2 linked regions of the Anolis sagrei genome follow. The protein of the gene in region 1 binds, or shares a complex with, the protein of each later gene. Links are inferred from orthologs where the notes say so. Each region holds a gene or a part of one and is shown in the gene's direction. Other genes may lie near its edges.

Region 1 (16,261 bases):
CATGCAGCTGTGGACAAGTCTACAGAGGGACCACCAAACGCAGCAGCATTGCCCAGACACGAATTAAGGAACGTGAAAGGCACAGCAGACTAATTCAACCAGAGAAATCAACTATAGCAGAGCACCTGATGAACCAACCTGGACCCAACATATTATTTGAGAAGACAGAAATGCTGGACCACACCAACAACCACCATGTCAGACTACACAGAGAAGCCACTGAAATACACAAGCATGTGGACAATTTCAACAGAAAGGAAGAGACCATGAGAATGAACACAATCTGACTACCAGCAGGCCCGTAGCCAGGATTTTGTTTCGGGGGGGGGGGGGGGGGGCTGAGTCTGATTGAAAGAGGGTCTACCCTAGCAAACTTTTTGTATTGTTACCCCAATACCCCCATGCATATGAGATATATTGAGCATGGTGATCAGATCATGATATGAATAAACATAACAGTTTAAATAATGTACCACTATGGCCTTCTCGCGGACCACCATGACAATTTTGGGGGAGGGGGCTGAAGCCCCCCAAGCCCCCCAAGCCCCCCCCCCCCCGGCTACATGCCTGGCTACCAGTATTAAAAAAAATCTCTAAAATTACAACAGCACAACAAAAGAGAGGAAACAAACAAGGACATCTAATCACCTCTCAACAAAAGTTTGCTCTAGGCAATGGTCAGGCCATTATATGCTAATCAAGGTGGTCAGCTGAAACATTCACACCTAGCTCCAGCAGATAAGAGCCCTTTGTCTCATCCTGGTCATTCCACAGATATATAAACCCATTTTCCTAGTTCCAACAGACCTCACTACCTATGAGGATGCTTGCCATAGATGCAGACGAAACATCAGGAGAGAATGCCTCTAGCCCAAAAAAACCTACAACATCCCAGGACTTCTTTATTTATCATATCAGAAGCATGTATAAAATGTAAAAAAAAATGTATAACATCACAAAGGACTACCACTTCACCCACCTCATAGGAAACCTGCTACAAAACAGGAGCTTTTTGGTTGAGTTCCAGGGCCAAAGAAGCAGATGGCGGAAACAGAAGAACGACCCCAAACCCCACTAATGTTCGTGCCAAGTTTGGTCCAGATACATCATTGTTTGAGTTCATAGTGCTCTCTGGATGTTTGGTCCAAACAATGATGGATCTGGACCAAATTTGGCACGAATTCTCAATATGCCCAAATGTAAACACTAGTAGGGTTTGGGGGAAATAGACCTTGACATTTGGGAGTTGTAGTTGCTGGGATTTATAGTTCACCTACAATCAAAGAGCATTCTGATCTCCACCTATGATGGAATCGAACTAAATTTGGCACACAGAATTCCCATGACCAACAGAAAATACCAGAAGAGTTTGGTGGGCATTGACCTTGAGTTTTGGAGTTGTAGTTCACCTAGATTCAGAGAGCACTGTGGACTCAAATAATAATTGATCTGGACCAAACTTGGCATGAATGCTCAATATGCCCAAATGTGAACACTGGTGGAGTTTGGGAAAACAGACCTTGACATTTGGATGTTGTAGTTGCTGGGATTTATAGTTCCACCTCCAATCAAAGAGCATTCTGAACCCCACCAACGATGGAATTGAGCCAAAATTGGAACACAGAACTCCCATGACCAACAGAAAATACTAGAAGGGTTGGTGGGCATTGACCTTGAGTTTTGGAATTGTAGTTCACCTACATCTAGAGAGCACTGTGGACTCAAAAAATGATGGATCTGGACCATCTGGACCATTGTTCCTTAATGTGAACAATGGTGGAGTTTGGGGAAAATAGACCTTGACATTTGGGAGTTGCAGTTGCTGGGATTTATAGTTCACCTACAATCAAAGAGCATTCTGAACCCCATCTACGATGGAATTGAACCAAACTTTTCATACAGAGACCCCTATGCCCAACAGAAAATCCTGTGTTTTCTGATGGTCTTTGGCAACCCCTCTGACACCCCCCTCACGACCCCCAGGTTGAGAAACACTGTTGTAGGGACTCAGGGTGGTTTACAACAAATATCGGCAAACATTCAATGCCATTAAGTACTAGGCAAAATAATAATAATAATAACAACAACAACAACAACAACAACAACAACACCAAAGCACCCAAATCCCACAAACCAAATCGACATCTTCAAGAATAATACAAAATTGGGCGATGAAAACAAAACTACAAATTCACAGCTAAATTAAAAACAAAAACAAACAAGGAACAAATATATCAAGTTCAAAGGTATAAAATTAATTAAAATTTATGGGTTTGAAAGCTTGCAGAGATAAAATGACAGATTATTTCCCTTCCAGGGTGACTATACGTGATTATGGAGGCAAGCAGGAGTATCCCAAGCCTCAAATTTTGAATTTCTCATTCCTTTTAACCAATATATAACTCAATGGAGTTCTAAAACAGCATCTAATGTGTGCAATATATTGATTTAATGTATTTAATTGAATGTATCTTCCACATTCATCATTATACGAATTAGTCATTGGAAAGAGCTCACACTCCAAAGGGATAATTTGCAGGCATGGGCCCTCCAAGTGTTTTGGACTACAACTCCCACAATTCCTTAAGCGGCTGAGGGGGGAAAGGAAGGGGCCTGAGGCTGTTAGGAATTATGGGAGTTGGAGTCCATAAACACCTAATTGAATGTATCTTCCACATTCATCATTATACGAATTAGTCATTGGAAAGAGCTCACACCCCAAAGGGATAATTTGCAGGCATGGGCCCTCCAAGTGTTTTGGACTACAACTCCCACAATTCCTTAAGCAGCTGTGGGGGGAAAGGAAGGGGTCTCAGGCTGTTAGGAATTATGGGAGTTGGTGTCCATAAACACCTAATTGAATGTATCTTCCACATTCATCATTATACGAATTAGTCATTGGAAAGAGCTCACACCCCAAAGGGATAATTTGCAGGCATGGGCCCTCCAAGTGTTTTGGACTACAACTCCCACAATTCCTTAAGCGGCTGAGGGGGGAAAGGAATGGGCCTGAGGCTGTTAGGAATTATGGGAGTTGGAGTCCACAAACACCTGGAGGGCCCAAGTTTGCCCATGCCTGATTTAGGATATTCCCAGTTGTGAAGAAATAAAACGCTGCGAGTGATGTACAATTGGAAGCCATTTTTGTCTGCCTCGGACATATTTCCATCGTTTCGATTCCAATGTCTCCTCACGACAATGGCTTCCAAACAACCCATTTCTCCCTTCATTTTTTGAGTTTCTCCCTCATTTCTTTCCAAGAGTCTCCAGTAGATTATGTCTTGATTCCTCCATTTTCTCTCTTCTTCTTCATACGGCTTTGTTAATACCTTTTGAGAGGAGATGTGGACGGATACAAAATGGACGCCGTCCCTCTAGAATTCTCCACAGAAACCAATTGCTTTGGGACAAATTAGGCCTCTGCAATGAGCCATTGAAGCCCCTTGTATAAAATCCACATCGAATTAGATTATTTGTCAGTCTGGACTCAGATAATCCAGTTCAGAGCCGATATTATGGATTATCTGTGTTAATATTCTGGATTATATGGCTGTGTGGAAGGGCCCTGTGAAGCACATTTGTTTGGGAGTTGTAGTTGCTGGGATTTATAGTTCACCTACAATCAAAGAGCATTCTGAACTCCATCAATGATGGAATTGAACCAAACTTGGCACACAGAACTCCCATGACGAACATAAAATACTGGAAGGGTTTGGTGGGCATTGACCTTGAGTTTGGGAGTTGTAGTTCACCTACACCCAGAAAGCACTGTGGACTCAAACAATGATGGATCTGGACCAAACTTGGCATGAATACTCAATACGCCCAAATATGAACACAGATGGAGGAAATGGACCTTGACATTTGGGAAGGGTTTGCTGGGCATTGACCTTGAGTTTGGGAGTTGTAGTTCACCTACACCCAGAAAGCACTGTGGACTCAAACAATGATGGATCTGGACCAAATTTGGCATGAATACTCACTACACCCAAATATGAACACAGATGGAGGAAATGGACCTTGACATTTGGGAAGGGTTTGGTGGGCATTGACCTTGAGTTTGGGAGTTGTAGTTCACCTACACCCAGAAAGCACTGTGGACTCAAACAATGATGGATCTGGACCAAACTTGGCATGAATACTCAATACGCCCAAATATGAACACAGATGGAGGAAATGGACCTTGACATTTGGGAAGGGTTTGCTGGGCATTGAACTTGAGTTTGGGAGTTGTAGTTCACCTACACCCAGAAAGCACTGTGGACTCAAACAATGATGGATCTGAACCAAACTTGACATGAATACTCAATACGCCCAAATATGAACACAGATGGAGGAAATGGACCTTGACATTTGGAAAGGGTTTGCTGGGCATTGACCTTGAGTTTGAGAGTTGTAGTTCACCTACACCCAGACAGCACTGTGGACTCAAACAATGATGAATCTGGACCAAACTTGGCATGAATACTCAATACGCCCAAATATGAACACAGATGGAAGAAATGGACCTTGATATTTGGGAAGGGTTTGCTTGGCATTGACCTTGAGTTTGGGAGTTGTAGTTCACCTACACCCAGACAGCACTGTGGACTCAAACAATTATGGATCTGGACGAAACTTGGCATGAATACTCAATACGCCCAAATATGAACACAGATGGAGGAAATGGACCTTGACATTTGGGAAGGGTTTGCTGGGCATTGACCTTGAGTTTGGGAGTTGTAGTTCACCTACACCCAGAGAGCACTGTGGACTCAAACAATGATGGATCTGGACCAAACTTGGCATGAATACTCAATACGCCCAAATATGAACACAGATGGAGGAAATGGACCTTGACATTTGGGAGTTGTAGGTTTTTTTTGTTTTGTTTTTTTGTTTTTGGTTGTGTCTGGAGCAACCGCTCCTGTTGTGAGAGAATTGGCCGTCTGCAAGGACGTTGCCCAGGGGATGCCTGGATGATTTTTGATGTTTTATCATCCTTGTGGGAGGCTTCTCTCATGTCCCTGCATGAGGAGCTGGAGCTAATAGAGGGAGCTCATCCGCCTTTCCCCGGATTCGAACCTGCGACCTGTCGGTCTTCAGTCCTGTCGGCCCAGTGCTTTAACCCACTGCGCCACGGGGAGTTGTAGTCACTGGGATTCACAGTTCACCTACAATCAAAGAGCATTCTGAACCCCACGAACGACAGAATTGGGGCAAACTTCCCACACAGAACCCATCATAACAACAGAAAATACTTAAGGCCATCCAGTCCAACTCCCTTCACCAGGGCAAGAAAACGTAATCAAAGTCCTCCTGACAAAGAGCCATCCAGACATAGATAGAGATAGAGAGATAGAGAGATAGAGAGATAGAGAGATAGAGAGATAGAGAGATAGAGAGATAGATAGATAGATAGATAGATAGATAGGGAGTTGTAGTTGCTGGGATTTATAGTTCACCTACGATCAAATAGCATGATAGAATTGAACCAACCGGGGCATACTGGACTCCCATGACCAACAGAAAACACTAGAAGGGTTTGGTGGGCATTGACCTTGAGTTTGGGAGTTGTAGTTCACCTACATCCAGAGACTACCATGGACTCAAACAATGATGGATCTGGACCAAACTTGGCATGAATACTCAATATGCCCAAATATAAACACAGATGGAGTTTGGGGGAAATATACCATGACATTTGGGAGTTGTAGTTACTGGGATTTATAGTTCACCTACAATCAAAGAGCATTCTGAACCCCACAAACGACAGAATTGGGGCAAACTTCCCGCACAGAACCCCCATGACCAACAGATAATACTTAAGGCCATCCAATCCAACTCCCTTCATCAGGGCAAGAAAACGTAATCAAAGTCCTCCTGACAAAGAGCCATCCAGACATAGAGATAGATAGATAGATAGAGAGTTGTAGTTGCTCGGATTTATAGTTTACCTACAATCAAAGAGAATTCTGAACTCCACCAATGATGGAATTGAACCAAACGTGGCACACAGGACTTCCATGACGAACAGAAACCACTAGAAGGGTTTTGTGGGTATTGATGTTGAGTTTGGGAGTTGTAGTTCACCTACATCCAGAGACTACCATGGACTCAAACAATGATGGATCTGGACCAAACTTGGGACAAATATTCCATATGCAAAAATATGAACACAGATGGAGTTTGGGGGAAATAGACCTTGACATTTGGATGTTGTAGTTACTGGGATTTATAGTTCACCTACAATCAAAGAGCGTTCTGAACCCCACCAGTGACAGAATTGGGACAAACTTCCCACACTGAACCCCCATGACCAACAGAAAATACTTAAGGCCATCCAGTCCAACTCCCTTCACCAGGGCAAGAAAACACAATCAAAGCCCTCCTGACAAAGAGCCATCCAGCCATAGATATAGATAGATCGAGATGATTCACACACACACACATAGTATCATAGATTTGAAAGGGATTCCTAAAGAAGGACAATTATATGTTGCATGTTCCAGAGTGGGTAAACCAGGCAATCTCTACATCAACACTGGCAAAGAAGTACTTGCAACTACAGGGGAGGAGGATAAAGATTTGAACTTCGTTGAAGTCTGTTCCATGGGTTAACATCACATAGGAATGTGGCCACTGGCTGCTGTCTCGCGTTATTACACGGTGTTTAAAAACAGTTTGCAAACCATGGTTTGTAAAAGTCTGCAAAATGAGGATTTCAAGTCATGGTTCAAACTTTGGATTGTTAATTTGGATTGTTAATACACAAACTGTTGACGTCTCACTGTTAGGCCAATGCTGGCCTAACAGTGAGAGGTTAGGGGTTGTTGCACCACTGTGATGGAAGCGGAACTACTTAGGTGAGAAGATGGGAAATAAAAATAGACAAGTAGCTAAAACATAGTTGTTTTTCATGTATGACAAAAAGCTCAAAACATGTAATAGGTTTGTAATTGTTCTTGTTACAACCACATTTGAGATGTAAGAGCTAAACTATCTTAGTATGCTCTGTATCACCAAAAGGCAAAATCCATATAATTCACCTTAGCTAAAAGCTAAGCTAAGCTAAAAGTTAAGCTAACCTAAAAGATAAGCTAAGCTAAAAGCTAAGCTAAGAGCTAAGCAAAAAGCTAAGCGCTAAGCTAAGCTAAGCTAAAAGCTATGCTAAAAACTAACCTAAGTGAAAAGCTAAGCGAAAAGTTAAGTGAAAAGCTGAGCTAAGCTAAGGTAAGCGCTAAGCTAAAAGGTAAGTTAAAAGCTAAGCTAATCTAAATGCTAAGCCAAGCGAAAAGCTAAGGTAAACTAGACTAAGCGAAAAGCTAAGCGAAAAGCTGAGGTAAGCTAAGCGAAAAGCTAAGCGAAAAGCTAAGCGAAAAGCTAAGCGAAAAGCTAAGCGAAAAGCTAAGCGAAAAGCTAAGCGAAAAGCTAAGCGAAAAGCTAAGCGAAAAGCTAAGCGAAAAGCTAAGCGAAAAGCTAAGCTAAAAGCTAAGCTAAAAGCTATGCTAAGCTAAAAGATAAGCCAAGCTAAAAGCTAAGGTAAGCTAAGTTAAGTGAAAAGCTAAGCCAAAAGCTAAGCAAAAAGATGAGCTAAGTTGAGCTAAGCTAAGCTAAGTGCTAAGCTAAAAGGAAAGCTAAAAGGTAAGCTAAAAAGCTAAGCTAAACTAAACTAAGCTAAGGAAAGCTAAGCTAAACTAAGCTAAGGGCCTAAGCTAAGCTTACATATTTTGTGTTAAATCTTGAAACTCTCCCAATTTCCTATTCTCAAGTAGACGGATTTCGTAAGACTGACCTTGGTTGAGATAGGTCAGGGTTTTTTTTCATGAAGTTTCACAGCAGGCGATATAGCTGCAAAAAAGCTCATATTGAAATGGAGGGAGCTTGGTGTCATTCTCAGGGGAAAGGTGAGGCTCTTCTTGTTTAAAGATCGGCAGTGCGAGGACATCACGCAAGTAGCTGCCTGTGGAGTGCTGGTTGTAATGCTCCAGCTAAGCTGAGCTAAGCTAAGGGCCTAAGCTAAGCTAAGGGCCTAAACTAAGCGAAGCTAAGGGCTTAAACTAAACTAAGCTAAGGGCCTAAAATAAACAAAGCTAAGCCAAGCCAAGCTAAGGGGCCAAGCCAAGCCAAGCCAAGCTAAGGGGCCAAGCTAAGGGACCAAGCCCAAGCCCCAAGCCAAGCCATGAATATGTCTCCCTTGCGCCTTGCCGTGCCTTGTGCCGCATTGCGCCGCCTTTCGCCGCCTTGCGCGCCTCACCTCGCCTCGGAAAGCATCCGATGAGAGATCCAATACAACAGCCAGCAGAGTGATCTTGTCTTTTTGTGTTTCTAATAAATAATAATAATAAACCAGTAAAGGTGGTCCCAGTGGTGATCGGCACACTGGGTGCAGTGTCTAAAGACCTTGGCCTGCACTTAAACACAATCAGCGCTGACAAAATTACAGTCTGCCAGCTGCAGAAGGCCACCTTACTGGGATCTGCACGCATTATTCTCCGATACATCACACAGTCCTAGACACTTGGGAAGTGTCCGACGTGTGTCCCATACAACAGCCAGCAGAGTGTCTGCTGTGGACTCATCTTGTTGTGTTTCAAATAATAATAATAATGATAATAATAATTTTATTTCTTAACCGCCTCTTCCCATGATTGATCCAACACTTCTTCATCTTCTAAGCAATCATAATATGACGATAATATACATATTTTGAGGTAGGTTGGATTGCAATTCCATATGACACATGCATTTCAAAGTATGGGCTGCATGTACACCGTAGAATTAATGCAGTTTGGTGGCACTTTAATTGCAATGGCTCAGTGCTATGGGATCATAGTATGGGCTGCATCTACACTAAAATTAATGCAGTTTGCACTTTGATTGCAATGGCTCAATGCTATGGGATCCTAGTATGGGCTGCATCTACACTGTAGAATTAATGCAGTTTGACACCAATTTAAATGCAATGATTCAAAGCTATGGGATACTAGTATGGGCTGCATCTACACTGTAGAATTAGTACAGTTTGACACCAGTTTAATTGCAATGGTTCGATGCTATAGGATCCTAGTATAGGCTGCATCTACACTGTAGAATTAATGCAGTTTGACAACAATTTAAATGCAATGGTTCAAAGCTATGGGATACTAGTATGAGCTGCATCTACACTGTAGAATTAGTGCAGTTTGACAGCAGTTTAATTGCAATGGCCCAATGCTATGGGGTCACAGTATGGGCTGCATCTACACTGTAGAATTAATGCAGTTTGACACCAGTTTAATTGCAATGGCTCAATGCTATGGGCTCCTAGTCTAGCACTCAAAACCACATTAAAAATCTCGAAAACTAAGAATTAGTAGGGTCTAATTCTTAGATTTCGAGGTGAAAGGATTTAAAAAAAGCCAGGACACAAATATTTGGATTCCCCCCCCCCTTGGAATGGTACGGCCCACTGCGTTCGCTATCTCAAGTAAGCTTTGCTGGACGAGTCCAAGTGTCGAGCCACAAGGGGGGGGGGAGACGGGAAAGAAGAGGAGGTCGAGCTCTCCGCCGCTAGGCGTCTCTCTCTGAAACCCTCTCGCATCCCGGCAAGCCTTGCGACTCTGTCTATGGTAGGCTTCGAACCAATGACAGCGGAGGAGCAAAGCAGAGGCGGGGCAAGAGTGCGGCGGTTGCCGGGGCAACAAGATGCGCCGCGCGCGTTCCGTAGTTTCCGTCGGTTGCCGTGGCAACGGATAACTTCCTCGCGTCGCGCCGTTGAAGAGTCATGGCGGAGGTGAGTGAAGGCCGCAGTTCTCGGTTTTTGATGTATGCTTTTCTCTGCTGTCAGGCGAAGGCTCTTCTCTCTTCCTTTGTGGCCCAATTCCTCATTTCCCTATTTATCTTGTTGTTGTGGTTGTTGTTGTGGCTGTTATAGTGGTTGTGGTGGTTGTAGTGGTTGTAGTTGTTTTATAGTTCTGATTGTAATTGTTGTGGTTGTAGTTGTTTTGTAGTTGTTGTGGTTGTGGTGGTTGTGGTTGTTGTGGTTGTAGTTGTTTTGTTGTTGTGGTTGTAGTGGTTGTAGTGGTTGTAGTTGTTTTGTAGTTGTGTTGTGTGGTTGTGGTTGTTGTGGTTGTGGTTGTTTTGTAGTTGTGATTGTAATTGTTGTGGTTGTGGTTGTTGTGGTTGTAGTTGTTTTGTAGTTGTGTTGTTGTGTGGTTGTGGTTGTAATGGTTGTAGTTGTTTTGTAGTTGTTGTGATTGTAGTTGTTGTGGTTGTAGTTGTTTTGTAGTTGTTGGGTTGTGGTTGTAGTGGTGGTTGTGGTTGTAGTGGTTGTAGTTGTTTTGTAGTTGTTGTGATTGTAATTGTTGTGGTTGTAGTTGTTTTGTGGTTGTTGTGGTTGTGGTTGTGATGGTTGTGGTTGTAGTGGTTGTAGTTGTTTTGTAGTTGCGATTGTAATTGTGGTTGCAGTTGTTTTGTTGTTGTGGTTGTGGTTGTTGTGGTGGTTGTGGTAGTTGTGGTTGTAGTTGTTTTGTAGTTGTTGTGATTGTAATTGTGTAGTTGTTGTGGTTGTAGTTGTTTTGTAGTTGTTGTGGTTGTAATTGTTGTGGTTGTGGTTGTAATTGTTGTGGTTGTGGTTGTTGTGGTGATTGTGGTTGTAGTTGTGTCCCTTCAAGTTGTTTCAAAGTTATGGCTGCTCCAAGGCGGCCTTTTCCCAGGGTTTTCTTGGCAGGATTTGCTTTCCTCTGAGACTGAAGGTGTGTCTCTGGTCTAGATTGTAGAATTAACGCAGTTCGACACCGCTTCAACTGCAATGTCTCAGTGCTATGGAATATTGGGGTTTGCCTTTTGGTGAGGCTTCGGCCTTCTAGGTACCGCTCCGGCGGGAAGGTAACGGCGCTCCATGCAGTCAAGGCGGCCACATGACCATGGAGGTGTCTACGGACAATGGCGGCTCTTTGGCTTATATAATAATAATAATAATAATAATAATAATAATAATCTTTATTTATACCCCACTACCATCTTCCCAAAGGGGACTTCGGGCAGCTAACATGAGACCAAACCCAAAAATAATACAGCAAAGTTAGACACAGAATAACAGAAAAATTACATCACAACAAAATACATAAAGAAACAAAATAGAATAAACAGTGCAAATTAACACAATAAAAATCAAAAACAAAGGGCGGGCCAAATGAGCAAGATAAAATGTTAAAACATTGAAACCCTGGGTGAGGTAGGAATAGAAAAAAGTGTATTTAAGAGGAAGGAGGCCAAGAAGGAGGCTTAGAAATGGAGATGAGCACCAACCCCCAGAGTCGGACACGACTGGGCTTAATGTCAGGGGAAGCCTTTACCTTTACTCGGCCTTCTTGGGCACGGAAGTCATAGATCTTGGGGAACCACAACTCCCAGGATTCTATGGCATTTAAAGCGAGATTTTGATATTTTTCTACATTTATTTATTTATTTACGACATTTATATGCCACCCTTCTCACCCTGAAGGGGATTCAGAGCGGCTTACAAGATATATATACAGTATATTATATTATTAGTATAGCACAATATCAGTATTATATATTACTATATTGTACTATGCCATTATATTGTAATATTAATTATTATTATTATTATTATTATTATTATTATTATTATTATTTCCAGAATAGGAAAACTCCCAACAACCTGTCCCAGAAGCACTTTATTAGACTTTAAGATTGCTTGCACACTGCACTTACCCTAAAATCCGACATACCACCTGTCACATCAGCACTTTTAATCTGTACCTATTACATTTGGCCCGGCCCAGTTTTATTGTGTTTTGGTGTATTGTTTTATTTTTCTGTTGTTTTTGATATTGCTTTAATTGCTTTGATTTGCTCTGTGTTGTGTATTTGTTATGCTATGTTTTTGAGGCCTTGGCCTTTGTAAGCCGCATCGAGTCCTTCGGGAGATGCTAGTGGGGTACAAATAAAGTTAATAATAATAATTTTAATATTATTAGTAATATATAATTATACTTACTTACTTACTTACTTAGGCGATCCCTCGTTGTCCGAGTAGGATAGTCTTCCAAGATCAGTGTACAGGCTCCATAGATGACTGTGGAGTCCTATTCTTGACCCACATATTCTCCCGCAGTGAGGGCATTGGTTTCCAGGTGGAAAATGGTCCCAGTCAGGGTTGGCTTGATGTACCTTCCTCTTGGCCCTCAATTTGTGCCTCTCCAAATTCTACAGCAAATTCACAGCTGACCTCCAGCTGGAGCGCTCAAGGGCCAGGGCTTCCCAATTCTCATTATAATATAGTATTGTATTGTATTACATTATAACATTATAAATATTATTTGTATATACAGTATATTATATTATTAGTGTAGCACAGGAGACAAGGTGGAACTGGCTTCCTGGCCCCCTCTCTCTTCACTCTGTCCCATAAGGTTTTTTTTTTTGAGTTCCCAAAATATATATTTCCTGTCCAATTGAAGCATTCACACCTGCCTCCAACAGGCAAGAGTTCTTTCCCCGCCCTGGACATTCCAGAGATATATAAATCCCATTTTCCTAGTTTCCAACAGACCTCACAACCTCTGAGGATGCCTGCCATAGATGCAGGTGAAATGTCAGGAGAGAATGCTTCTAGAACATGGCCATAGAAGAGGAGAAGAAGAAGAACTTTATTTTTCTACCGCGCCTCCATCTCCCCAAGGGGACTCGAGGCGGCTTACATGGGGCCAAGCCCAAGGCAACATACAATTAAAAACGGAATAGTAGCACATTAAAACACAATAAAACAGCGTAGACAATAATAAACAAGCATAAAAAGCAACAACAGACTCATTTTTGGAGGGGGGGGGAGGGGGCCAATAAATAAAAACTAGTTAAAGGATAGGGTGGTCAGTAAGGTGGATAGAAATGTATAGTAGCATAGAAATAATGGCATAGAAATAGAGCAGTTAAACAGGATCAATTTAGCTTAACTTAAGAAAACTTGTGTAGCCGTTTTCTCCTGTAAGTTCTACTTCTAGGAAGAAGTGACAACAACTTTGTTGCCCATTGAAAACTTCCACATGCTGTCAACAGTTATCATTATCTGCAGGGGTGGATAGCAGGTCCAAATTAATTTACTTGTGTTGCTAATAACAGATGCAGTGTAGACAGCTGGTTTACTTTCTGATCCCTTCTTTGTCCATGTAAGCTGTATCTTGTAGATGTTCTCTCAGTGGAAGACCAAAACGATCAGGGGTATGAATCTTCTCATGAAAGCCATTGTAGTATAGTAGTAAGATCCAAGAAGACAAGGGTTTGAATCCGTCGATCAGCCGTCAAAACCCACTGGGTGATCTTGGGCAAGTCACATTCTCTCGACCTCAGAGGAAGCAAAGGCAAAGCCATTCTGTTAAAATCTTGCCTAGAAAACCCCATGATAGGATCCCCTTAGAATCACCAAAAGTCAGAAATTATTTGTAGACATGCGACAGCAACAAATAATGTGTTTCTCGATAGCTAACTACACAGAGAGTGATACAAGTCCTACTTTTCTCCAGGAGGCTATTTATTTATAGAATGTGATGTTGTAATGGCCACTGGCTTAGATGGGATTTAAAGGAGACTAGATAAATGCTGCTGTTACTAGCAGTGGTGGAGCCCCCGGTGGCACAGTGGGTTAAACCCCTGTGCCGGCAGGACTGAAGACTGACAGGTCGCAGGTTCGAATTCGGGGAGAAGCGGATGAGCTCCCTCTATCAGCTCCAGCTCCTCTTGCGGGGACATGAGAGAAGCCTTCCACAAGGATGATAAAAACATCAAATCATCCGGGCTTCGCCTGGGCAACGTCCTTGCAGACGGCCAATTCTCTCACACCAGAAGCGACTTGCAGCTTCTCAGGTTACTCCTGACATGACAAAAAAACAAAACAAAACAAAAAAACAACAACTAGCAGTGGTAACTAAAGGGGGTCTTCATGTCCACAATTATGAACAGTTGTGTGCTAGAAATTTCTGGAGACATCATGGTGGACACTCTATCAGTCAATAATGGCAAATGAAAGCAGAGACAACCAAGGAAACAGCATATCTAGTATTAAACAATCAGAACCTTGACCCTGAGCCATTCCATCTCAGCACACAGGCTTGTTAATAAAATACATTCAATTAATTTTTTTTAAAAAGAGATTTCAGTTCTTTGTTTTTAAGAGCACAGATGTCCACATTTTTTGTTAAAATGTAGCCTCCATTCTGTTGACCAGAGTTCCTCTCTTCTACTTGCCTTGACTTTTCTCGTTAAACAGGTAGAAATATTGTATCAGAGTCAAACACCGACTCTGATTTTAGCAATCGCATACTTAAACATGTCAATAAATCCAACCATTAGACTAGGGGTCCTCAAACTTTCTAAACAGAGGACCAGGTCACAGTCGGATTATAATTTGAAAAAAAAATGAATTAATTCCTATGCACACTGCACATATCTTATTTGTAGTGCAAAAAACACATTAAAACAATACAGTAATTAAAATGAAGAAGAATTTTAACAAATATAAACTTATTAGTATATCAGTGGGAAGTGTGGGCCAGCTTTTGGTTGATGAAATAGGGTTGTTGTTGTTGTTGTTGTTGTTGTTGTGTGCTTTCAAGTCATTTCAGACTTAGGTTGACCCTGAGCGAGGGATGGATAAATGACCTTGGGGGGCCGTATCCGGCCCTCAGATCTTAGTTTGAGGACTCCTGCATTAGACTTTGTATGGACTATTCCCCCCCCCCCCCCAAATGCAATTGTATACTGATTAAATCTTTAGATTTGAGTCATGTTTTCACTAAGATGGTACACTTGTATCTGGAACTAGATCTACACTGCCCTATAATCGGGATTATCAATCAGATAATCCACATTATCTGCTTTGAATGTGAATCTACACTGCCGCTCCGAGTCCCCTTCAGGGTGAGAAGAGTGGCAAATAAATGTCGTAAATAAATAAATAAATAAATACATAAATACATAAATACATAAATCAATAAATAAAATCTAGATCAAATCGGATAATCTGGATTTTATATGGCAGTGTAAATGCAGCCTGGGTTGTGCTACTTTAGAATCCAGTGGGAGGTCACATAGTTAAATGGCACTGACAAAAAATCCCTGTATTTAAAAATCTGGAATATCAGGGAGAAGAAACCTGGCCTAGCTAACTTTCAGTGAGGACTTCTTTTTGTCTTTTGTTTTTGAATAGAAGAGCACATTTTCTTGCTATGAAGTGAGAGGACAGAGGATTATTATGTTTTAAATAACATATTGTTGTCTTAATGGCTATGTGTCTTTTCTGGATGCATATCAGACATCAAGACTATCTGAATTCATCTAGCCTCTGCATGTGTTGCTGTCTGTCTACGTTGCAAAATAGCTCATTTTAGGATATTAATCCTTTTATTGCTTTTTAAACCATTTCAGACTGCATCTTTACCAGCAATCACAGAACATCCCAAAGCCCGCTCAGGAAGAGGTTGGTTCTATGTTTTTGTATTTTTCCACTCTGCCACTGGTACATCGGTTTGCAAAATGGTAGTAAAGACTTTCTGTATATATTTCAGATTTCAGTATTAATGTCGTGACCCAAAGAACACAGATTGTCTCAAACAGCAATTGAGATGTAAAATAATAGTCTTTTAATGAATAACAAACTTAATGAGGCACTTTAACATCAGTGAAGGCAGTTCAAAAGGTGTTTTCAGGCAAGAACATAAACAGTAGATAATCCGGATATCTAGCAGGCTTGAATAGCAGCCAAAAATAAACAGGAGATACAAGAGTTTGTAGCAAAATGCAAAGCAAAATAGTCTCTAAGAAATACAAGGTTCAGAGCAAGGTCCGATAGGCAAATACGTAGTCCAGTCAATTCCAAGGTCAGGTAGCCAGGCGTAACACTCACGAACGAAGATTCCAAGGTCCGAAGGAACACGGCAGGGAAACAGGATACTGGGAATCCAAGCAAGGTTAGGCAGAGTAACACCACATAACAACACTTTGTTGTCTGCAAAGAAACAGTTCCCAATGTGCACATTTTATTCACTATCAGAAGATTGGGATTCATTAGACTCATCTGATTCTCCTTGCGCAGCTGAAGCATCTAAGCCACGCCAAGTTTGCCACCTTTGTTCTAATGCCTGATCCTGCCAAGAAGATCCCTCATTCCAGTTATCCTGAAAACCCTCAAAATCATCGCTGGAGGTTGTTTGATTGCAAATGTCTCTAATGTTCTGAACCAGAGTCCAGTCTAAAGCCTCCTCCATCTCATCCTCACTGG
Region 2 (16,325 bases), on another chromosome or scaffold:
ATTCAAAGAAGGAACAATATATCTGGAACCACAAGGGGTCAGGCTTTCATAAATATAGGAGCCTGCGTGTACCCTAAATAGTGTCCTTTTGAGTTAGATTCCATTTCATTTACAAGGGATATAAAATTGAAGACTTCCTCAATGTAAACAAGAAAACAAAAAAATGGCTCAAACATTTCCCTAAAATCTTTGAAAAGTGGGCACATTGGTCCATTAGAAATCCACCTAAGCAAAATCAACCAATTCCTTTTTTTCATTAAGAACAAGAATACTATGTATTACTGCTATAACATTTTAAAATGCATCTCTCTTTAATATATCGCCCACTATTCTTCCTCATTTAAAAAAATTATAAGTTAGCAAGTAAGTAATCAAGTAGTCAGATTGAGAAGCGAACTGGAAAGGCCATTTGGCAAAAGAAATAAAAAAAAAATAACATTTGCTGTATTAGTTGCACAAATTTATCATGCAGATGGTGAGTATGAAAACTGTACGTTTTGTACATAATTCACCAACTGAACACCTGGCTTTGTAGAAGTCAGTGAATGTTTGGTATAATAAATGAAGTGTACATCCTCTCCGCTCAAATAAATAGGCATTTAGACACATTATAAAAGAGGACAGATGCAATAAACCAACATGTCTTAGGCAATACTACCACGAAGCTGTTATTTTATAGCCGAGTAAACAGTTTTATTTTCCCTCCATAAATATTTGTTGTACTACAGAAATCTATTCATGATGTTTCAACAATTATTATACAAGAGAACCAGGACATTTTTCTTCCTACTGAGATAGTAGTAGTAAATTTTATTGATTAGCTCTTAGGCCATATCACAATACCAAACCAAACAAAAGGGCTTGATAAAACTTGATTACACTCCATATAGTAAGTTAAGTAAAATATTTATATCATGTTTCCGCATAACCCCTACAATTTACCCCAATCAGCCCCACATATTGCTCAGACATATTGCTTTGCTTAAAAACAGAACTGTTTTATATGTTAGTTTTGGATCTTGGCCACACATAAAATATGTTGTTCTGGTGTGGGATTCCCAATAAATTGTCCGTTTGATATATGAACCAAAGTACAAGTATCTCACTTTCTGGTACAGACTACAAGCAAATAATATGTGTGCTATATCCTCAATTTCAGGTGCTCCGCAGATACAAATCCGTTCATTATAAGGGATGCTGTTAAACCTCCCATATCTCACTGACCATTGTATCAAGCTGATCAAATCTAGCTCGAATAAATACCTCCCTAAACCTACTGAGATATATAAAGTCAGTGTTGTCTTTGTGCCATGATTATGTGATAGTTCTGCTTCCCAAAAATCTTAGTTTTCATTTCTAAATACTGCCCCTCTGCTGCACTAATTGGCAAATATACATGGATGCTAACACATAATGTACCTCAAAATAAGGGTGCATCTACACTGCGGAAATAATGCAGATTGGCCACACTTTTAACTATCATGGTTCAATGCTATTGGAATCTGCACAGTTGTGAGATGATAGCACTCTTTGGCAAACAAGGCTAAAGGCGTTGAAAGACTATCGATCCTAGGATTCCATAGTGTTGAGCCATTGCAGTTCAAGTGGGATGAAACTACATTAATTCTACAATGTAGATGCATTGTTAAGTCTAATTCAGTTGTAACATAATAAGGGTTCACTTCATTTGTGGCATATACATTGTTCGGTATGTTTAGAACTGTAGGTGTCCTTTCATAAATGGTGAAGGAATAGGGCATGTGCTGTTTAAGTGTCTGTCCAACTGCATAGTGACATTGGCCACCTGGGACTATGTAGGACTGTGTAGTTTAATTGGGACTTTGGCCCTATCTGTTTTGACCATTTAATGTAGTTCAGAGGTAGCTTCAAGCTGCAGTGATCAGACAACAAACTCCCACAAAAGCATGCAAAAGAAAGCCCTTAATGTACACCTGTGCTCTGTCGTTTGTGTAATCACTATCTGGGCCTCAAACTGGTTCCAGGATTTCCTATTTATTCATAGGCACCACACAGCACTGCTTTCTTCAAATAGCAGTTTAAAACTGCATTAAACACTGCAGATGGCCCTTTTGTCACCTTGAACAAGATACCTTGGAATACTTGGTCAAATGTATCTGTAAAAGCTCATGGGTCTTCACATGATTTGTATGTTTGTAGAAGAATAATGCCATTGTATAAAACAAAATTAGGAATGGGTTTTAAGGTTAGAAAAACTGAACACAATGGATGCCTATGTAATGAGCAGGGAATTTTCGCAAACACATGGACCTCTGTGCTTTGGCAAATTTTCAGTGCATTATCCAAACCATAATTGCTGCTGCAGGAACCAAATGAAGCCAATATGGAAATCAGCATGAGATTGCTAAACTGGAGTACTTTGTACACGTTAAAATCCGTGGAAGTTAACAGAACTTTAATTTGTCATAGGAAGGAAGTACCCAGCTGCAACGGATCTGAAGAAGAAAAGGATTTGTGAACTGATAAAATTGCTCAAGTCCTGCTCTGCTCAATGCCTTTCCAGCAAATACTTTCCATGTGCCTCCATAATTTACGGCATGCTACAGATGGCTGAAGCCTTCCTATTTAGAGAGGAAAAAAGAAAGTGCCTTTTCAAATTTGACATTTAAAATGCCTTATTCTATTAATCTCTCACTCACACACACACCTTGTCACAAATATTTATTTACATCAGGGGTGCTTTGTTTCTGCCTAAAAGCAGATTCCAAATCAGAAAGTTTTTACAATTTGTCTCTTTGCACTTTATATCTGCGGATATGGATACATTTCTCCCAAGTAAGAAACATTTTAGAATCCAATCTATTTCAGCCCCTTTGAAAGAAATGATAGTAACCATCCGCCTTCATTTCACAGTTACCAATTGCTATTTTTCTCAAAGGTTGACAGTTTGGCATATAGACAGGCTTAATGTGAGAGTACAAGTTAAAATGAACAAGGGAATGGCAGACTTTTGTCAGATTTAATTCTCACATAATCAGAATTTACTGGATTACTTTCTCAAACATCTGCTGCAGCCAACCTGGTATTTTCCAGATGTTTGGACTGCAACCTCCATCAGCACTAGTCAGAATCAGAAATTATTTTATTTTATTTACTTATTGTATTTTACTCCGCTCTATCTCAACCCCAAAGAAGACTCAGAGCTGCTTCCAAATTGGCAATAATTCAATGCCACATTAAGACATAAAAACATACAAAATACGTTATTCATTATAATCATAAAACAGTAACATATACACTTAAATAAGCAGTTTAAAACATAGCACATAGTCCTGAAATCATAGTCCAAAATCAGTTCCAATCACGTTAACTTCGTAGCTGCATCTTGCGCTGTAACTACTCTCCAAACACTTGGTTCCATAGCTACGTTTTTCTAAAGGACAAGAGGTAGTTGTAGCTTCAAGTTGGCAAAGACTAATAAACCAAATGCATATTAGGGTATGGAAGATGTAGGTTACTCCTCCAGTCTCAGGAAAGAGGAACGCCATTGGCTCAAACTGATGTCAAAAGAAGGAGGCCCTGAATCATAGAATCACAGAGTTGGAAGAGACCACAGAAACCACCCAGTCCAGCCTCCTGCCATCCAGGAACATACAATCAAAGCACCCCCGACAGATGGCCAGCCAGCCTCTGCTTCAAAACCTCCAGAGGAGACTCCACCATGCTGCAAGGCAGCATATTCCACAGTCGCACAGCTCTTAGTACTAGGGAGTTCTTCCAGGAAAAGATATTCCTTCAGGTGGAATTCTTTTCCTGAAATTTGAATCCATTGCTCGGTGTCTTAGTCTCCAGAGCAGAAGAAAACAAGCCTGTTCCTTCCTCAATATGACATCCTTTCAAATATTTAAACATGTTTATCATGTCCCCTCTCAGCCTTCTTTTCTCCAAAGTAAACATACCCAGCTCCCTAAGACGCTTCTCATAGGGCTTGGCTCCCAAACCTTTGATCATTTTGGTTGCCCTTCTCTGGACCCGTTCCAGTTTGTCAACATCCATTATGAATTGTGATGCCCAGAATTGGACACAGAATTACAGGTGAGGTCTGACCAAAGCAGAATAGAGGGGCACCATGACTTCCCTCAGTACTATACTCCTATTGATGCACCCTAGAAATTGCATTGGTTTTTTTAAACTGCTGCATCACATTGTTGACTCACGTTCAGCTATTGGTCTGCTGATTTCAAGTCAGGTATGTTGCTTGCACATTCAGTGTGCATTTATTTCTGCTGGGTGAGTTCAGTCCTTAGAGACACCACATCTACATGGGAAACAAGCCTATATGCTCTCACAGCATGTAGATTCTAGACAAAATAAATTGTCAACCTGAGAATAAGGCCAAACATATTTTTATGTTTTTAGTTGCTGGGAAAATTCCAATGAATGAGTGTTCATGGGCATCCTTGGAAGATACGATCTCCTGTTATATAATCAAAACATTGTTTTCCCTGTGCAAAAAGGAAGTTTCAGAAAGTCTGTACCAATATAACCACAGCAACATATGACCAGAGGATTTTTCAACCTCACAAGAACTGGGTGTTGGCACGCCTTGTTTAATTTTTCTTGTGACACCCAACTTAAAACTTGTTCGGAATGAACTGCACAAAGGCAGGAAACAAAACTTAGCCTCACCCTTTGCCTAGAGTGCTGGCATTTGTCATTTCCAGGCAAGCATTTTTAGTAAAATTCATTTTCTTTAACTTAATAGCCGAACAGTAACACAAAACAAGAACACAGGTGACTGCCAGTGAGGACATGAGATAGCTTTCACAGCCCACAAAAAAACATGAAGTGCTATTAAAGGGCAGCAATTCAATTATTTTATTCATTATACTTGTACTATGAGATACGAGGCATTTAGATATTCTCTTCTTAAGCATCAAAATCCCTTGAGGCACTGTGGAGATTAAGGACCATATAACTTAATTTAGGAAGAGCTGCAGAGCAATTGTTCTTAAAGGAAAAAAATGACAAAGAACTAACTAAAGAACACATTACTCATGATAAACTTCTGAAATCCTCATCTTCTCTTCCCGCAGCTGATGAAGTTGGTTGATGGGCCAAGTTGTAAATAGAGTCATAAAACAACAGAAGACTGGAAATAAAACTATTTCTCTCTTCAGTTACTTTGTTGTTGGAGATTTATAAAAACATTTGAGAGATAAAAATAGATGCCTCTAAAACAAGCTTGCAGAAATAGAACTCTCAGGGAAGAAAAGGGACTGGAAATAGGACTGGAAATGGGATTGGTCATTATTGCTGTATGTTTGGATAGAAAATATATAGGGGGAGGATGGACCACCGATGATGGGATTTGCAGTACCTTGGCCAAAGTTATGCAATGGCACACAATTAGTAGATAATAAATTGATGAACAATCTAATTGAAGCAACAATTCTGAATGGTCCTCATAAAGGTGAAGAAATACTACTTCCACGAATACCACTCATTCTGATAGACATGGCGTTTGAGTTCAAACAACTTCAATTTCCAATATGCCTTGCGTTCACTATGGCTATCAATGAAGTGCAGAGGCAATCTTTGCAAGTGTACAGTTTGAATTTAAAAAACAATTGTTTCTCTCATTGCAAGTATACATTACATGGTCCAGACTCAGAAAACTGTCTGACCTTTATGTTTATGCAGAAAAAGAACAAACCAAAAATGTAGTCAATCCACTAGCTTTACAATAAAAATTTCTGTTTGTTTTTTTTAAACCCCTCTTTTTCTTTGCTTTCATTCCACATAGACACAGCAAAGCAAAGCAGGGTATTGAATTGAATGATGTGTTTCCTCAGTGAACCTATGTTCGCAACAATACTTTTATTTGCTTTCACATTCATTTCCTATTAGACTGAACCACAGCAAAGCTTGGCTGTGTTTAGCTAGTATCTCTATGAATTAAAATCCCTGTTGGAGTCAAACTGTTTTATGAAATGTTAAATGCACATTGATAATCCAAAGCAGTATAGGTTACTGGTTCCAATAGTTGAGATCTCACCAGATCAATAAAGGGTAGACCTAATGAAGGAATTGTGCAGTACACTGATGGATAAATATGATTGATCAGTAGTGAATACTTGCTGCTTAATCATACCTGAGGCATTCTAAGCCTTGACCTGCAATCTAGGCAAGCATTTATTTAAAAAAGGATGTTGCTACACTGTAGAATTAATGGAGTTTGATACCACTTGTAGTTTTACAAGGTCTTTAGCCTCAATGTATTCTCAAAGGCTTTCGTGGCCAGAATCATTGAGTTGCTGTGAGTTTTTCAGGCTGGATGGTCATGTTCCAGAAGCATTCTCTCCTGACGTTTCACCCACATCTATGGCAGACATCCTCAAAGGTTGTGAGGTTTGTTGGAAACTAGGCAAGTGAGGTTTATATCTCTGTGGAATGTCCAGGGTAGGATAAAGAACTCTTGTTTGTTTGAGACAAGTGTGAATGTTGCAATAGGCTACCTTGGTTAGCATTTAATGGCCTTGCAACTTCAAAGTCTAGTTGATTGCTGCCTGGAGGAATCCTTTGTTTGAAGGTTTGTCTGGAATTCCCCTGTTCTCTGAGTGTTTGCCAAAGAGGGCTCATCAAACTACAGCCCCCATGATTTCAGACCATTGAGCCATGACAGTTCAATTGGTGTCAAACTGCATTCATTCTACAGTGCAGATATACCCAAACTCCCATCATATACAACAACAGCACGGTCCTATATATGTACTCAAAAGCACAAGTTGTTGTTTCATATAGAGTCTTAGACTATGAAGCAAATGAACACAAGAACAGGCTATATGCCACTTCGAGATCATTGTCATAATTTTTTTATGTGTAGTGCATTTATCCGTCTTCAGTTCACTTGAATCCAAGTTAGTCCAATTAGGAAACCAAGTTAGTCCAATTTCGGGCAAGTTTGCCATTAAATTAATACAATGGAAAACCTGCCTGAAATTGTCTCTCCTTAAAAGGAGCAAAATAGACAACGAAATAAACATATGGAATCCAAGCGTGCATCTACATAGTAGAATGAATGTAGTTTGATATCACTTTAACTGCCATGGCTCAATATTATGGAATCAAAAGAGTTGTAGTTTGATGAGGTACCAGTATTCATTGGCAGAGAAGACTAAAGGCATCATGAAATTACAGCTCCCATGATTCAATTGCATTGAGCCATGATATTTGAAGTGCGGTCAGACTGCATTAATTCAACAACATAGGGCCCTTACACACAGCCCTATATCTCAGAATATCAAGTCAGAAAATCCCACATTATCCGAGTGTGGACTCGGATCATCCAATTCAAAGCAGATATTGTGGAATTTTCTGCCTTGATATTCTGGGATATAGGGCTGTGTGGAAGGGCCCATAGATACACCATTAGCCATTGTTTTGGATATGTCAAGAAAAATGCAATAAAGAATCTTCTGCCACTTTCAAGACCCAACAAATTTATTGTGACATGAGTTTTCATGGATTAGAGACCGGTTCGGCAAATGCTGGAAGTATTACTGTGGATTGGAATGAATTGGATTTAAGCTTGGCTCACTAAAGGCAGCCAGTAAACTGTTTTGTTTTTTTCTGAGCAGATTAACTTGTTTCCTTATCTAATTCAGCCATAGACTTCCAAAGCAACAAAGCAAGTTGTGAGAGGATGATCAGGAACTTCCACAGAAAGAGGTTAATGAGGTTGGAAAGGAATACTAAAAGCTCCTTACCTGTGAAACCTGCCCAGCCAACCCAACCCACACCTATTGTTGAGGAAAGACATACCTCCATGACCCTGGTCCTGAAAGGCGCCCTGTCAGCCTCCTCCTCTTAGCCAAGAATGATGTAACACAGGTGTACACAAAGGATCGAATGAAGTAACTTTTGAGCCGAGGCAGAGAAAGATAAAGACATTAGATCTGAACTCTGGAATGCCCCTCTGGCATGGCAAAATGCCTCTCTCTGGGATCTTAAGTAGGGCAGTTTATGTGTTAGCAAGACTGGTTTGTACTTCTCTTTAAATGTGCAACAACCCTTCTTTCAAAAAGAAATCAAGTCCAAGCAGAGTGCCTCAGCAGTGCTGGGTACAGAAGACGCAAAAGTATTTTTACTACATGTGTCAAGAGGATTGTGGCCCACTAAGCTAAGGACTGGAGTTCCCAGTGGTGCAGTGAGTTAAAGCACTGAGCTGCTGAACTTGTTGACCTAAAGGTCACAAGTTCAAATCCGGGGAGCAGTGTGAGCTCCCGCTATCAGTCCAAGCTCCTGCCAACCTAGCAGTTTGAAAACATGCAAATGTTAATAGATCAATAGGTACCACTCTGGCGGGAAGGTAACGGCGCTTCATGCAGTCATGCTGCCCACATGAACTTGGAGGTGTCTATGGACCGCGCCGCCTCTTCGGCTTAGAAATGGAGATGAGCGCCAACCCCCAGAGTCGGACACGACTGGACCTAATGTCAGGGGAAAAGCTTTACCTTTACCTAAGCTAAGGACTGTACAGGTAACATTCAAAAAGTATAGTAAAATCAACTGTATGTGCAAAGCGCACAACCTTCCTCTGCACCAAACCTGCAAAATACTGTAGTCTCAGTTAACCAGCACCCAAGGGGATTGTTTGATGGCATATAAATGTAGTTTCTGGTTGCCTGAGAGTTAGTATTAAAACAGGACTAACAAATTAAAGTTGGAAGAAACCACATGGGCCATCCAGTCCAACCCCCTGCCATGCAGGAAAAGCACAATGAAAGCACTCCTGACAGATGGCCATCCAGCTTCTTTTAAAAGCCTCCAGGGAAGGAGCTTCCACCAAACTCTAAGGCAGAGAGTTCCACTGCTAAACAGCTCTTACAGGGCCCTTCCACCCAGAATATCAAGGCAGATAATCCACAATATTTGCTTTGAGGTGGGTTGTCCAAGTCCACACTGGCATATCACCCAGTTCAAAGCAGATAATGTGGGATTTTATTCAGCTGTGTGGAAGGGGCCATAGTTTGTGGCAGCTACAAAAACAACGTTAATCCCAGAATGAGGATAGCGTCAACATGGACAACGCGCCTGGAGATGGCAGCACGGCTGGGCAGCAGTCCTAAACTAGGAAGACAAGAGCCGTGCAGGTACTGCGCATGCGCTTGGCTATTTGACGTCCTCTGCAGGGAAGGAGCCCCGATTGGAGCGAAGAGGGGCGCTCTATCTGTGCCTCTCTATGGTGCCCTTCGAAGCCCAGCACTCAGCGGAGTCGCCCGGAAGCCGGAAGTGCCTCTTGAAGTCTGGGGCGGAGAAGTCCTTCCGTGTTTTACTTTGACCCTGTGGCGGCGTTGCCATGGCAATGCGCGAGGAAAGAGCCTTGTTGATCCTAGGCCGCGCGAAGGGCGAATTAGAAGCGGGTTCGTCGGTGTTTGGCTGCTCTAAACTTGTAAGTAGAGAAGACTGGAAGGCCCTGGCTGGCCTCGTGTGTTCCTGAACTTATGACGACCCTATAAGGCAGGCATCTTCAAACTGCGGCCCTCCAGCTGTTTGGGCCTCCAACTCCCAGAAGCCCTAACGAGCTTGTTCAATTGTCAGGAATTCTGGAAGTTGAAGGGCCGCAGTTTGAGGATGCCTGCCATAAGGATTTCATAGGCAAGGAAATGGCCAGTTTCTCCTTCTGAAATACCACCTATTGGTGGTCTCCCATCCACGTACCAACCAGGGCTCACCCTTCTTAGCTTCTAAGACTAGAAAGGATCTGGTTCCTTTAGGCCAGGCATGTGCAAACTTCGCCCCTCCAGGTGTTTTGGACTTCAAACCCCACAATTCCAGATTCTTTCCTTTTAATCTAGATTAGTGTTATCGTATTTACACAGTATTTCAATACAGTATCATGCTGTATTTCATTGTATGTTATTTCATCAATCTACCCACCCCCCACACACATTAAAAGGCAATGTTTCTATTCTTCCCGAGTTCTCTTGGCTCTTTTGATAAAGTTTTTTTTAATCTCCTAGTTTAGGAGACCTCTCGGGGCCTTTCCACACAGAATATCAAGGCAGAAAATCCCACAATATTTGCTTTGAACTGGGTGATCTGAGTCCACACTGCCATATATTCCAGTTCAAAGCAGATAATATCGGATTTTATTTATTATTTATTTACAGTATTTATAGTCCGCCCTTTCCACCCCGCAGGGGACTCAGGGCGGATTACAATGTACAATATTGCAAAAATTCAATGCCAAAGACACACAACAGATATAGACAGACAGTCAGAGGCTATTTAACTTTTCTGGCCACCAGGGGAGCTATCGCTTTCATCGTCCATCTGCGACACTGATGAAGTACTTCCGCATTCCCCGCATGCTTTTGCTAGAGTGCTTTGCTGGCATCTTTTTTAATGGCCTTGTAAATTAGTTAAATTAGCCTCCCCACACATAGGTGGTACCTAATTTTCCTACTTGACAGATGCAACTATCTTTTGGGTTGCAAAGGTCGACAACAAGCTACACAATTGGTCAGAAGCTCACTCCGACCCGGGTTGGCTTCGAACTCATGACCTTTTGGTCAGAAGTGATCTTAATGCAGATGACACTTAGCTATGCCACAGTCCCGGTGGAAGGGGCCTCATACACACCTTGGGGAGTTTCTTTACTAAGTGAATTGATTGAATTAGTGTATTGATTCTGGATCTGGAAGGTATGATGGAGGGGGCAGCATATTAATAGTCTTCTGGCAATTTCTCATTCAGTGCAGATTGAGGCCAAACAATGTCTGAACCAAAATTCCGCGAGGTGTTGCCCAAGCAAGGTGAGTGACCCTTCCCAGCACGATACCACAACTTTACCAAAGCCTTTTAGGAACCCTTGTTTTAGGACTTTTAGTTTTATATTAATACATAGATTTTAACATTTTTCAGCACTATTGAATATTTGGTTTCATTATGTATTATTTCAATGTTTATATTGTGTGTATTTTATAAATGCTGTTAGTCACTTTGGGCCCTTGAGTGGGGAAAGGCAGGATAAAATTGGCATGAATAAATAAACACATGTCACAGATAAAACACAATACATGGTTGCCAATCTTTAGATCAGTGGTTCTCAACCTGGGATGCCCAGATGTTTTTGGCCTACAACTCCCAGAAATCTCAGCCAGTTTATCAGCTGTTAGGATTTCTGGGAGTTGTAGGCCAAAAACATCTGGGGACCCAGGTTGAGAACCACTGCTTTAGATGAATGTGTGTTGCACAGGATCAGGCACCTTATCTCATAGTATCCCTTTCCACCCATTTGGTTTGTGATATTATCTCAGAGAGAAAATAATTCCTAATGTTGCTCAGGACTCCACATTAACTAGGATTAAGGGCCCAGGATCCTTGTGAAATAAATTGCATCTCTCCCCCCCCCCCCCCCCGAAAGGAATACTTCTTTAGGAATTTCTAGATCTTCCGGCTGTAAGATTCTATGTTCAACTTCCATAGAATATAATTGGAGGTTCCAATTATTCCAAAAGAAGCTTTCTATCCCAAGGTCCTCCAACATAACTGAAGAAAGTTGACCAGCACATTGGACCTAGTGAGAACATTTTTAATCAAAATTGTGAATAATCAAAACAGCAAATATGGAGGGATGGCTGTGCTTCCCTTTACAACAATAAAATGTTTATTTTTTGTTCTTTAATGCTGTGTGCAACTCTACTTTTTTGAATTGGACATTTATCTTTAACCATAAGAATATTGTTTATTTATTTACCGTATTTATATATCGCCTTTCTCAGCCCAAAGGCAACTCAAGGTGGTTTACAGTTGGCAACAATTCAATATCCCCAACACATAAAATAGAATTTAAAACATTTAGCATATAAAATAAAAACCCATACAAAACCAATAAAAGCATAAATCATCAGCGTCTCCTTACTATTCTTTGCTGAAAAGAATATTACTTCTGTACAAAGTAATATTCTTCTCAGCAAAGCTATCTTTCTGTTCTCATTGTTCCCATTGGAAGCAGGCTATATGTTGCCTTTGAGTCTTGACCAGCATCTATAATGCAGCATCTATAATGCATTATACTTAGGAATAATCAACATTTCCTTCTGGAAATAGATTTTAGCTCATCGCTCATTGTTATGATATACAGATTGTTTCAAAATAATGGGCCCAATTTGCAATACTGTATCGCTGCAACCACAAACCATGAATGAAACTGTGCCACTTGAAGAAGTGGGGTATTGAATTTCAAAGGATTACTGCTAAATGCCTCTCCCAGCACATAAACAGGGCTCAGTCATTTGCAAGATGGTGACTCCACAACATAAGGTCTAACAAAAATACTTAACATTTGTGGTGGATTTTTATTGTTTTTAGATTTGTTTTTGGCTCAAAATGCATAGTAAAACTTGATAACTCATTAAACTTTTTGAAACTTTTTGTATAAACTTTTCGTGTAATTATAACACCATGAAAAATATTGCTTTAAACTTAGGTCCATCATTTTGAAATACCCTGTATATGCCTCTGAAAATACATGTGAAGCCATTCTACAGGAGTAAATATACCTGCCCTCCGTTTTAAATTACTGCTTATTTAAGGAATATTTGGTGGAGACTTCTATGTTCTCTATCCTGCCCAGGAGCTAGTAAGTTTGCCAATTACAACCATGGATTCTATACTGTCTGAACCAGGCTATGTAATCTAGAAGACTATGTGAATTTCATTGTTTATCTTTCCCCCCTCATTCTAGGAATGTTAGCAGTAGAAGATGTGACTACAATGGTATTGTGTAAGCCAAAGCTGCTCCCCTTAAAATCAGTTACGCTGGAAAAGCTTGAGAAGATGCAGCGTGAAGCACAGGAAACAATTAGGCAGCAAGAGCTTGCCCAGCAGAGTTCAAAATCAATAGAGTAATAGGAAAAATAAAGAATAATGTATATAGCAATTCTTTATTCACCATTATGATAGATTGTTTGCTGATTGCAACCCTGTAAATATTTTAAAATATCTTGATTAAAATGGCATTTGATGTCCTCCTTTTGGAGTTCTGTGATTGTTTCTAATTCTACCTTCTGTTATTGAACTTTGTTCAGATTGCCATTTATAAATAACATCAGTAAAATCTCTTTGTTCTTTTGAGTACATTTGCAGAAAATGTGATGCCAGGCTTTTTTCCCCGTTGGATGTTTTGTGCCTTCAAACTGTTTGATTTAAGGCAGCCCTAAGATGAACCCCATCATGGGATTTCCTTGGAAAGATTTGTTGCCTGGAGGGTTTCCATGACTGAGTAGGGATTTCAGCACCATGATGTTAGCCTAATGCTCATACCATTTTGCAACATTGGCTCTTTCCTATCTATAGAATGTGTAACACATGAAATGCATACCTTTTAGGTATGATACAGTCCCTGTATCCAAGGACTCATCTACTCACATCCACCAAAATATGTCCTCTAGGCATTTTCTAGGCTCTGCAGCGTGGCTCTAAGTTACTTCTGGTGGAATTTGTTCACTGCAATAGGGTTTTCTATTACTAGTGGTTTTCTGTTTTCACAGTAAATTCAGATATGTATCCCCCATGAATACAAGGGATATACCATATATAAAATTTATTTATTTACCATACTTGTATTCCGCCTTTCTCAACCCCGAAGGGGATTCAAGGTGGCCTTACACAGGCAACAAGTCAATGTCGCATAAACACATACATCAATGAATAAACAAAAACAATAAAACCAACTAAATAAAACATATTAAAATAGCAATTAAAATCACAAAATCCAGGACATATTCTAGGGCCAGCCTGGATCGTCATTCAATTAAGTTATAGCTTCTTATTGCACTGCTCCCATTATTGACCAAAAGCCTGATCCCAGCGCCATGTTTTTAGTTTATTTCTGAAGGCCAGATTGGGGGGGGGGGGGGTATCTAATTTCACTGGGGAGGGAGTTCCATAGACAAGAGGCCACCACTGAGAAGGCCCTGTCATTCGTCCCCATGAGGAAGTGGGATCAAGAGCAGGGCCTCCCCTGACGATCTTAGCCTCCGAGGTGGGTCATAGAGGGAGATACATTCGAACAGGTGAGCTGGGCCGGAAGCGTTTAAAAGTGTGTAAGTTGTTTAAAACAATGATTTCAGATGCCATTCAGGGACTGATTCCTGTGGCTCACTCCTGCCAGTCAAGGGTTCTTCAGAGCATAGTGTTTAATGCAAGAGTGAATGCATCCATATTAAAAGGAGCAGCCAATACTGGGTATTACTTGATCCTGTCATAACATCAATATCTTAGCAGCATTAATGCCTGCAACCTTGTATGAAAATGTCCTCTATACTTTCCCTTTTGGATTTAAAGACACAATAATGCCAGGTCTGCAGTAATGCGTGTTAATTAAGATTTGAAAGCTGGGTTTACCCCTAGGTGCTAGTTTGCTTCCAGTCTACTAATAATGGGGGGGGGGGGGGATGTCAGTGTGTAATTCATGTATGATGTGTGTTTAAATGTAATTTTATGTGATAGGATTGTGATTGTAATAGAATTGTATTGCCAGGATGTATTTTGACACAGAAGGGTTAAACAGCAAAGTAATAAGCTGTGAGAATGTGACCCTGAGTTCTTGCTCTGTGAAAGATTAGGGAGTGCCAGAGATAAACTTCCTTCCAGCTGCAGTTTGTATTTGTTCCTATCTCTTTCGGTTTGTGTTCTTCACGTCTGTCCACTGATGGTGTATGTTGTCTATTTTGAGCTGCTTAAGTAAAGCAAAAAACCTGCTTTTACTGGAGACTCCAGAGTCCATTATTCCGAGCTTCTGCGATACTCTGCTAACGCCAACAATAGGTTATGGGCCCACACTGACCGGGCTTGTTAACCTGGACCAGCTGACCTGCAGAGCTGCTGACCAGGTTGGAGGCTGTGATCGAAGCTGTGTGGTTTGGACTGGTGACTGGAGCCTGTTTTCACCAAGAGCTGGTGAGTGTCTTCGAAAGACTGATTCTGGGAGTAAGCAGAGTTGTGAACGGGGCGCGCTGGACCCAGAGATTGATGATCGGAAAGTGTGAAGCCGTAAAGCCATAAAGTTGGAAACCAGAGGGGAGACTGCCAGAATCCACTGACGGTGTGAATCAGCGGCTGGGCTTGAACTCAGATCGCGAGGGTCTCCTGTGGTGAGAATGGCTGCTTCTAATCCAATGCCAATGATTGAGAGACTGAGTGACCATAATTATAAGCAATGGTCTGTGTTTATGCAGCATCTGCTTGCGAGAGATGGCTTGCAAAGGACTATTTTAGGCACAGAAGTTGACCCAGAGAAAAATCAGAAAGGGCTGGCAAGCCTGATCCTTTGTTTGATGCCCGATCAACTGGTTCATGTGCGAGGTCTGCAAACTGCCAAGGAAGCTTGGGATGCTCTCCGCACTGTACATTTGAGAGAGAGCACACTTGGTAAAATGATATGGACTAAGAGATTGTATTGTGCCAAACTGGAGGAAGGTGGAGATGTAAGAGCACATGTGAAAAAGATGAAAGAGCTGTTCTTGGAATGCCAAACCAGAGGTGTCGATATCAGCAACAAGAATCTAAGTTATATTTTGATGTCTTCACTTAATGATGGATGGGACCATTTATTATTTTCGCAACAAACTGTGAGAGCCCAGGATCTCACGTTGGATTTAGTCTGTTCGAGAATCCTGGAAGAAGAAGGCAGACGATTGTTTGAGGGAAAACAGCATGAAGGCTGCAGGAATGAGGGGGAGTCAACACAAACGGAGACTGTTCCTGCCAGCGTGCGAACAGTAAAGGCTGAAAGGAGATGTTATGCCTGCAAGGAACCAGGACATTTGGCCAGAGACTTCAAGGCAAGGAGAAATCAACCCAGAGGCAGCCGCGCCAGAGGGGGCTTCAGCAGAGGAGGACGCCGTGGTGGTGGAGCACCGGACTTTGCTGAAGCTAGAGCGATGATGGCAGCCACAGGAGATGCTATAGACAATGATCTGAATGAAGGTGATGGTGAAAGTGATATGAACTGTGCTGAATATGCGAATAAGGACTTGAATGTACCTTTGCATAACTCATGTGCACATTTCTTTCACAGAGTGATGGGACATGTAAGTTTTCGTGGTCTAGAAAAATTAGCTAATGTATGTCCTGAGTTAAAGATGCTCAAGTGTGATAAGTTTTTGGACTGTGCTATATGTAAACAAGCAAATATCGAAGTATACCTTCTAGTAAAAAGAAGTAAAATGAAGGCTAGTTGGCCTTTTGAGGTTGTCCATGCTGATTTGGCTGGACCTTTTCCAGAAAGTGAAGGAGGAGCTAAGTATTTCTTTGTTATAGTGGATAGATTCACT

The links.
Region 2: the proteins of BBS4 (region 1) and BBIP1 are in contact, whole or in part, in a cryo-EM structure (PDB 6VBV), measured with the Bos taurus proteins. The link is inferred for Anolis sagrei from reciprocal best matches to the Homo sapiens genes BBS4 and BBIP1. Residues at the interface, in NP_001069424.1 of Bos taurus: Leu210, Leu213, Tyr236, Leu240, Ala241, Ser244, Gln247, Thr248, Ser269, Pro271, Asn274, Asn275, Met278, Phe281, Gly282, Lys284, Tyr298, Leu299, Pro301, Leu302, Asp303, Trp304, Lys305, Ile306, Tyr308, Asn309, Leu312, Leu315, Thr316, Gln318; in XP_003587939.1 of Bos taurus: Met7, Phe8, Arg9, Glu10, Val11, Leu12, Pro13, Lys14, Gln15, Gly16, Gln17, Leu18, Tyr19, Val20, Glu21, Asp22, Leu28, Lys30, Pro31.

The regions. Positions count from the first base shown.
Region 1 is NC_090029.1:31,600,960-31,617,220, reverse strand, and holds the start of BBS4 (Bardet-Biedl syndrome 4 protein), read left to right. Parts: upstream 1-9,691; 5' UTR 9,692-9,745; coding exon 9,746-9,754; intron 9,755-15,408; coding exon 15,409-15,460; intron 15,461-16,261.
Region 2 is NC_090023.1:209,392,355-209,408,679, forward strand, and holds BBIP1 (BBSome-interacting protein 1), read left to right. Parts: upstream 1-9,230; 5' UTR 9,231-9,433; intron 9,434-10,740; 5' UTR 10,741-10,759; coding exon 10,760-10,799; intron 10,800-12,733; coding exon 12,734-12,897; 3' UTR 12,898-13,019; downstream 13,020-16,325.